Oryctolagus cuniculus: one gene and its partner. The protein of the gene in region 2 interacts with the protein of the main gene of each other region in a pairwise test. Links are inferred from orthologs where the notes say so. Each region holds a gene or a part of one and is shown on either strand. Other genes may lie near its edges.

What was found.
Region 1: the proteins of POLR3C (region 2) and POLR3GL interact in binary tests that used the Homo sapiens proteins (3 or more experiments, as listed by UniProt). The link is inferred for Oryctolagus cuniculus from reciprocal best matches to the Homo sapiens genes POLR3C and POLR3GL.

What each region holds. Positions count from the first base shown.
Region 1 is NC_091438.1:48,927,950-48,932,069, forward strand, and holds the start of POLR3GL (DNA-directed RNA polymerase III subunit RPC7-like), read right to left. Parts: upstream 2,620-4,120; intron 2,114-2,619; 5' UTR 2,019-2,113; exon of another isoform or gene 1,928-2,018; intron 1,707-1,927; exon of another isoform or gene 1,577-1,706; intron 1-1,576. Other genes in the region: ANKRD34A (ankyrin repeat domain-containing protein 34A), read left to right, coding at 2,736-4,120. UniProt on the Homo sapiens protein: DNA-dependent RNA polymerase catalyzes the transcription of DNA into RNA using the four ribonucleoside triphosphates as substrates. Specific peripheric component of RNA polymerase III which synthesizes small RNAs, such as 5S rRNA and tRNAs.
Region 2 is NC_091438.1:49,059,294-49,062,853, forward strand, and holds part of POLR3C (DNA-directed RNA polymerase III subunit RPC3), read right to left. Parts: coding exon 3,495-3,560; intron 2,001-3,494; coding exon 1,745-2,000; intron 1,636-1,744; coding exon 1,450-1,635; intron 896-1,449; exon of another isoform or gene 1-895. UniProt on the Homo sapiens protein: DNA-dependent RNA polymerase catalyzes the transcription of DNA into RNA using the four ribonucleoside triphosphates as substrates.

The sequences.
Region 1 (4,120 bases), about 130 kb from region 2:
CCTGGGAAAGCAGTGGAAGATGGCCCAAGTGCCTGGGCCCATGTACCTGCATGGAAGACCTGGAAGAAGCTCCTGGCTCCTGGCTTCAGAGCGAAACAGTTTTGGCTGTTGTGGCCAGTTGGGGAGTGAACCAGTGGATGGAAGACCTCTCTCTCTCTCTCTCTCTCTACCTCTCTCTCTAACTCTGCCTTTCAAATAAATAAAATAAATCTTTAAAAAAAAAAAAAGAGTTACAGGCCAGCGCCGTGGCTCAATAGGCTAATCCTCCGCCTTGTGGCGCCGGCACACCGGGTTCTAGTCCTGGTTGGGGCGCCGGATTCTGTCCCAGTTGCCCCTCTTCCAGGCCAGCTCTCTGCTATGGCCCAGGAGTGCAGTGGAGGATGACCCAAGTGCTTGGGCCCTGCACCCCATGGGAGACTAGGAGAAGCACCTGGCTCCTGGCTTTGGATCAGTGCGATGCGCCCGCCGCGTCGGCCATTGGGGGTGTCTCTCTCTCTCTCTCTCTCTCTCGCTGTCCACTCTGCCTGTCAAAAGTAAAAAAAAAAAAAAAAAAAAAAAAAAAAAGAAGAAGAAGAAGAAGAAGAGTTACAGAGAGGAAATAAAAGATTTTCCAACCACTGGTTCATTCTCCAGATGGCTACAATAGCCAGGGCTGAGCCAAACTGAAATCTGGAGACAGGAAGCCAAACTGAAATCTGGAGACAGGAACTCCATCCAGGTCTCTCACGTGAGTCACTTTCACTGCTTTTCCAGGCGCAATAGCAGGGAGTTGGGTTGCAAATGGAGCCACCAGGATTTGAACCAGAACTTATACAGGATGCCTGGTAACAGGCCTTCCCTTATGTTGCTAGACCACTTCATGAGCCCCAGGGATGTTATTTTTAGACACTTGTGTCTGCGGACCTCCAGTCTAAATTATCTCAGGACCCTAGGTGAACTTTTCAGATCCTTAGCATTCTTTCCTCGTTCCCCCATTTCCCTTGGTACCTTCCAGCTGGACAGAAATTCATTCCTAAAATATGCAGATGGAAGCTATGGTAACCATGGAGACAGGGCAGGTGGCAAGGAGAGGCAGACAGTGAGAGAGACAGATAGTGACAGATAGGAAGACAGAAAACACCAAGAGCAACCAGAATAGAGACCTTCAAGCAAGATGGAAAAATAAAGAGTCTAAGCAAGACTGAGAGTAAGGAAATGCAATGAGAGAAGGTGTTACTTGGTTCCCTCCTTTCCCTGCCCCCTTTCTAGTAGGTCTCTCCTCCCAAGATTAGAAGGAGGCGGCACCTGGGAACGCCCCTCGCCCTATGTAAAAATGCCCCCAGACATCCACTTTCCTTCCTGCTCATCTAAGGGGTCTGCATAAAGGAGCTGAGGCTCTCTGTGCTGTGTGTCCCCTTTTGGTGGAGGTGGGGTAGTGATGTACCTCCCTGTCTGATTCCTGACTGGACCGTGATCTACCAGGGATTTCAACTGCAAGAAGGCAGTCAGACCTCCCGTTTCTCTGCACACTACCGTATGGATGCCGGCTCCGGATCCCAATCGACTGGCTACACCCCTCTGCACAGTGTGTCATGTGCGGTGTGTGACAGGTTAAGTCTGGCGCACAAGCACACCAAATGCGGAGAATGGAGATCTGCTGAGGCTCTGCCGAGAATTCGGATGGTCGCTGTCGTGGTCTCGGAGTCGTCCCCTAAGGGACACTTTAGGTTTGTTGGGGCTTAGGGGAGGTCGGCTCAGATAAGGGAAGTCAAGATTGGAGCCTCCAGGTTTTTCAGGGTTTATGTGTGCATGAGTGGGGGAGCGGTTTGCTGCCGGACGCCCCCACCCGCAGAGACTGGGCTATAAATAGCATAGGAGAGCTCCGCCCCCTTCCCCCCCGCCCCCCCAGCTTCTCTCCTCCCGAGCCGGCGCTGTGCCCGGGGCGCACCGGGAGGAGGGACCAGGATCCGGTGCCGGGGCGCAGATTCTGACACCAAGGGAATCGGGTGCCCCCCCACGCCATGTGGGCCCCTGGGAACCTGGCTCCGCCACCCCGGCTGTCCGGTGAACACGGCCTCAATCCTGGCCAGGCAGAGATTCTGCGGACATTCAGGTATCTATTTGGGTGCACAGCCTGGGAGGGGAAAGAGCAAGGAGTGATGGGGAATACAGCAGGAGCAAAAGAAACCCCCAATTCTCCCTCCACCCGTTTTAGGTCCCAAATGCAAGCTGCTTCCCTCCCCCTACTCAATTTTTGGGGCTGTGGCAACCTAAAAGAGGTTAGGAATGGGAATATGTGTTTATACGGGAGCATGTGTGTGGGTGGGTGGCGTTCAGCATCCTAGAAAGGGGGATTCCAAGTGTGGGTAAGAAAAGGGGGATGCTGGAAAGGTCTGAGAAGCCGTGGGGGTGAGAGTGGGGGTACGGATGTCTCTGCGCGTGCACGTACGCAGCTGCACGCGCGCTCACCCTTCAGCGCGGGTGCACCCTTCCCACCTCCTCAGGCATGCGCTGGGGGGAAGGGGAGGCTCCAAGGCACGAGTTAGAGGCAGGACTGTGTGTCGCCTCACACCGGACGCCTCCAGCGGTGCCTCAGTTTCCTTGCTGAATCCGCCAATATGATCCATCTCTTTCTTGTAGGGTTCAGCTTCATCACTGAGACCCCAGGCCTCTGTCAAGCACCACCCCCAGACCCCTAGCCATCTGCGGCAGGTCCCAGACCCGGCTCCATCAGTGCCCTCTCTCCAGCCGCAGCTATGCTGCACACCGAGGGCCACGCTCTGCTTCGGGCTGTGGGTCAGGGTAAGCTGCGTTTGGCCCGTTTGCTTCTGGAGGGGGGCGCCTACGTGAATGAGGGCGATGCCCAGGGGGAGACTGCGCTAATGGCGGCCTGTCGGGCCCGTTACGACGACCCCCAGAACAAGGCGCGCATGGTACGCTACCTCCTGGAGCAAGGCGCGGACCCCAACATCGCAGACCGCCTAGGGCGCACGGCTCTCATGCATGCTTGCGCCGGAGGTGGGGGCGCCGCGGTGGCTTCGCTGCTCCTGGAGCACGGCGCAGACCCCTCCGTCAGAGATCACGCAGGCGCCTCGGCGCTTGTCCACGCCCTGGACCGTGGGGACCGCGAGACCCTCGCCACACTGCTGGACGCCTGCAAGGCCAAGGGCACGGAGGTCATCATCATCACTACCGATACGTCGCCCTCGGGCACCAAGAAGACGCGGCAGTATCTCAATTCTCCACCGTCCCCGGGGGTGGAGGATCCTGCTCCCGCTCCACCTAGCCCGGGAGTCTGCACGTCGCCTTCAGAAATCCAGTTGCAGACTGCAGGAGGAGGGCGTGGCTTGTTGTCCCCTCGCGCCCAGGAGGAGGAGGAGAAGCGGGACGTATTCGAATTCCCTCTTCCTAAACCCCCCGATGACCCTTCCCCTTCAGAGCCTCTCCCCAAACCGCCCCGCCATCCCCCGAAACCACTCAAAAGGCTCAACTCCGAGCCCTGGGGCCTGGTGGCCCCTCCACAGCCGGTTCCGCCCGCCGAAGGGAGGCCGGGGATCGAGCGCTTGACCGCCGACTTCAACGGGCTGACCCTGAGCGGCAGACCCCGTCTTTCCCGACGTCACAGCACCGAAGGCCCGGAGGACCCGCCCCCGTGGGCGGAGAAAGTGACGGGCGGGGGGCCTCTCTCGCGCCGGAACACAGCGCCCGAGGCTCAGGAGTCTGGCCCAGCCTCGGGGTTGAGGCAGAAGCTCAGCCGCATGGAGCCGGTGGAGCTCGACACCCCCGGACATCTTTGCCCCGACTCGCCCGAGTCCAGTCGCCTGTCCCTGGAGCGTCGCCGATACAGCGCCTCCCCGCTGACCCTCCCTCTAGCCGGCTCGGCTCCCTCCCCGCGCCAGTCCCAGGAGAGTCTGCCCGGGGCTGTATCGCCGCTGAGCGGACGGAGGCGGAGCCCCGGGCTGCTGGAGCGGAGGGGCTCCGGGACGTTGCTCCTGGACCACATCTCGCAAACGCGCCCAGGTTTCCTGCCTCCGCTCAACGTCAGCCCCCACCCTCCCATCCCCGACATTCGTCCCCAAGCCGGAGGTCGGGCGCCTTCGCTGCCTGCCCCTCCGCATGCGGGGGCGCCAGGCTCTCCCAG
Region 2 (3,560 bases):
AATGACCAGACCTGAGAATGGCTCTCTCTCTCTCTCTTCATCCCAAAGACATCCGTGGCTGCTGTTAGGTTATGAGTTTTTTAGGAGACTTCAGAACCATAAGAAACTCAAAGAAATGATGAAGTCATCTGAAGTTCAGCAAGTTCAAAATGGAATTCCTAATCTTTCTCCCTCAGACTGGGTCCTCTTTCAATGCTTCCTTTTTCAGTGAACGGTGCCACCATCCTCCCACATGCACAAGTCAGACACACACACGTCATTCTGGATCCCTCTGCCTCCCTCACCCCTTCTGTACCTAATTTTCCTCCAGGCTATCTACATTCACTTTTGTCTCATCCTCCTATCCTTTCTATTGCTTTTACAGATCTAAATTAGATTATGTTGCTCCCCTGCTTAAAATCCTTTAGTGGTTTTCCTTTGCTCTTAGGATAAAGAGTAGATGTTCTATCAGAGTATTTCAAAAATTTTGTAGAAAATGGAATTAAAATCTGCTGGCGCTGTAGCATAGCAGGTAAAGCCACCACCTGCAGTGCTGGCATCCCACATGGGCACTGGTTTGAGTCTGGGCTGCTCCATTTCCGATCCAGCTCTCTGCTATGGCCTGAGAAAGCAGTAGAAGACGGCCCAAGTGCCTAGGCCCCTGCACCCACTGGGAGACCGGGAGGAAGCTCCTGGCTCCTGGCTTCGGATTGGCGCAGCTCTGGCTGTTGTGGCCAATTCGGGGGTGAACCAGTGGATGGAAGACCTCTCTTTCTCTCATTCTGCCTCTCCTTCTCTCACTGTGTAACTCTGACTTTCAAATAAGTAAATACATCTTTAAAAAAGATAACTTGAGTGTACAATTTTGAAATTCATGCACAGTGTTTCCATAATATACATTTTCCACAAACTCTGAGAAGACTCCTTGTGTAAGCTTGCCTGACCTAGCCTCTTGACTTTCTCTTGACCCTTCTCCCATTTCTCCCCTTGTCCTTTGTTCGCCTTGCTGTAGCCACACTGACTACCTTTCACCTCTTCAAATGCCAATTTTTTTTCTCACTACCAAAAAGTCCCTTTGCCAAAAATGCTTACCCTCTGTTGCTTCACTGGTTAGCTCCAACTTGTGCTTTGAATCTTAGCTCAAATGTCACTTTCTCAAAGAAACACGACCCCTAAGTGCCCAGACAAATCCTGTTCTCCAACATATGTTTTTAGAATGCCTCCTAGTTTTCCTTCATAGTACTCACCACAGTTTGTCATATATCTAAGTGATTTTTGGTTAATGTATGTCTTTTGTATGACTTAGACCCCATAAGGGCAAGGACCATGGATTTTTCATTATGATAGGCTATAATGTCTGGTACACATCAAGCAAATACTTGACAAATGCTCAACTGATTCATTCAACGATCAACGAAGAAGAATCTACAATCAGGGTAAGCCACAGTTCCAGGGGTCAAAATTCCTTACCTATCAGGTTCAGTTTAGGAACCACGTACATGTCTTTCTCATTAATGACAAGCGTGGGGGCAGGCGGTGGAGGCCCAGAGTCTGAATCCTCAGTGGCAGGCACCACGGGACAGCGCTGTACGAAGTGTGTGTCTGCCAGTCGCACAAACGTGTTTGATACCTCAGCATAGTCCATAGTCTTGCCATCTGCACAATGGGAGTAAAGAGACAGGTGAGATGGCTTAGGGTAGCTGGGATTCACTCCTGTAGCCAGCCAGTCTATGCTTTCGCCAATAGCTGTGGATGTGGTACTGACCCTCCATGGTCTCTGTGAGCCGATCCGCCACTTTCTTCACAACAGCGGACATGGTCATTTTGCCGTTCAACAGCAGCTCTTCAACAATCAGCTCTCCAGTATCACTGTACAGTGTTTTGGTAGTATAGATGTACCGCGGATACCTAAGCATTCGCAACATGTGGCTGCACTGGGCTTCATACTCCACTACACCGCGCTTGTGCACTTGATATATCACCAGGTTATGTTGGATGAGGACGCAAAGGGCTTTCTTCACCTAGACAGGGCCCAAAAGAGAGAAAGGATCTGAAGACAGAGCTCATTATTGCTGCCAACTTTTTGGTTCAACAGCTTACTAAGCATCAAGATTCAGCTAGATGCACTGTGGTGTAGCGGATAAAGCTGCCACCTACAGTGCCAGCATCCCAAATGGGTGCTGTTTCGAGTTCTGGCTGCTCTACTTCCAATCCAGCTCTCTGCTCTGGCCTGGGAAAGCAGTGGAAGATGGCCCAAGTGCCTGGGCCCCTGCACCCGAGTGGGAGACCTGGAAGAAGCTCCTGGCTTTGTCCAGGCTCAGTCCCAACCATTGAGGCCATTTGGGAAGTGAACCAGTGGATGGAAGACCTTTCTCTCTATCTCTCCCTCTCTCTGTAACTCCATCTTTCAAATAAATAAATGTAAAAAAAAAAAAAAAAAGGAAAAGAAAAGAAAGAACATGTGCTTATTTCCTCTTTCTGATCCAGGAGCTAATAATAACAACACGCCAACAGAAGAAATCGGGGCCATCCTTGCTTTGATACTCATATTTCCTCTGGTCCTTATCTTTTGAACTATAATTTACTTTATATCATTTTCATTCCTTAAAGATAGTACTGAGATTAGTAGACTTATTGAAAATAAATCAGATATGGAATGGGAAGAGCAAATATTTGCTTCTTTTTTTAAAGATTTATTTATTTTTTAAAAAAGATTTTATTTATTTGAGATGTAGAATTACAGACAATTAAGAGGGAGAGACAGAGAGTAAGGTCTTCCTTCCGCTGGTTCACTCCCCAAATGGCCACAATGGCTGGAACTGTGCCGATCCTAAGTCAAGAGTCAGAAGCTTCTTCCCGGTTTCCTGTGCAGGTGCAGGGGCCCAAGCACTTGGGCCATCTTCTACTGCTTTTCCAGGCCATAGCAGAGAGCTGGCCTGGAAGAAGAGCAGCTGGGACTCAAATTGGAGCCCATATGGGATGCTGGTGCCACAGGCAGAGGATTAACCTACTGCGCCACAGCACTGGCCTCAAGATTTATTTATTTATTTTATTTGAAAGAGTTACAGAGAGGCAGAGAGAGAGAGGTTTTCCATTTGCTAGGTGGTCCAAACAGCTGGAGCTGGACCAGAGCCAGGAACTTCTTCCAGGTCTCCTACACGAGTGCAGGGGCCCAAGGACTTGGGCCTTCTACTGCTTTCCCAGGCCATAGAAGGCAGCTGGATTGGAAGAGGAGCAGCTGGGGCTAGAACCAGCACCCATATGGGATGCTGGTGCCACAGGCAGAGGATTAACCTACTGTGCCACAGCACCAGCTCCAAGATTTGTTTAAGAAGCCTTGATGAATTAGGAACACTTTGAGAAACAAAACCCTGGGACCTAAGTTTCATCCTCTTTCCCCTCAAGCAACACTGTTCTGATCCTAGGGCAGGCTTTCTGCCTTCATTTTCTAGGGTAGGGAGGAACACCATTCAAAGGCAGGTGAAAGAGAGCAAATTAATGTCACCTAAACATACCTGATCCGGTGATGTTCCCGTGTCATGGACAATTACTCTTAGCGGCTGGCTGCCAGTTCTGATTAG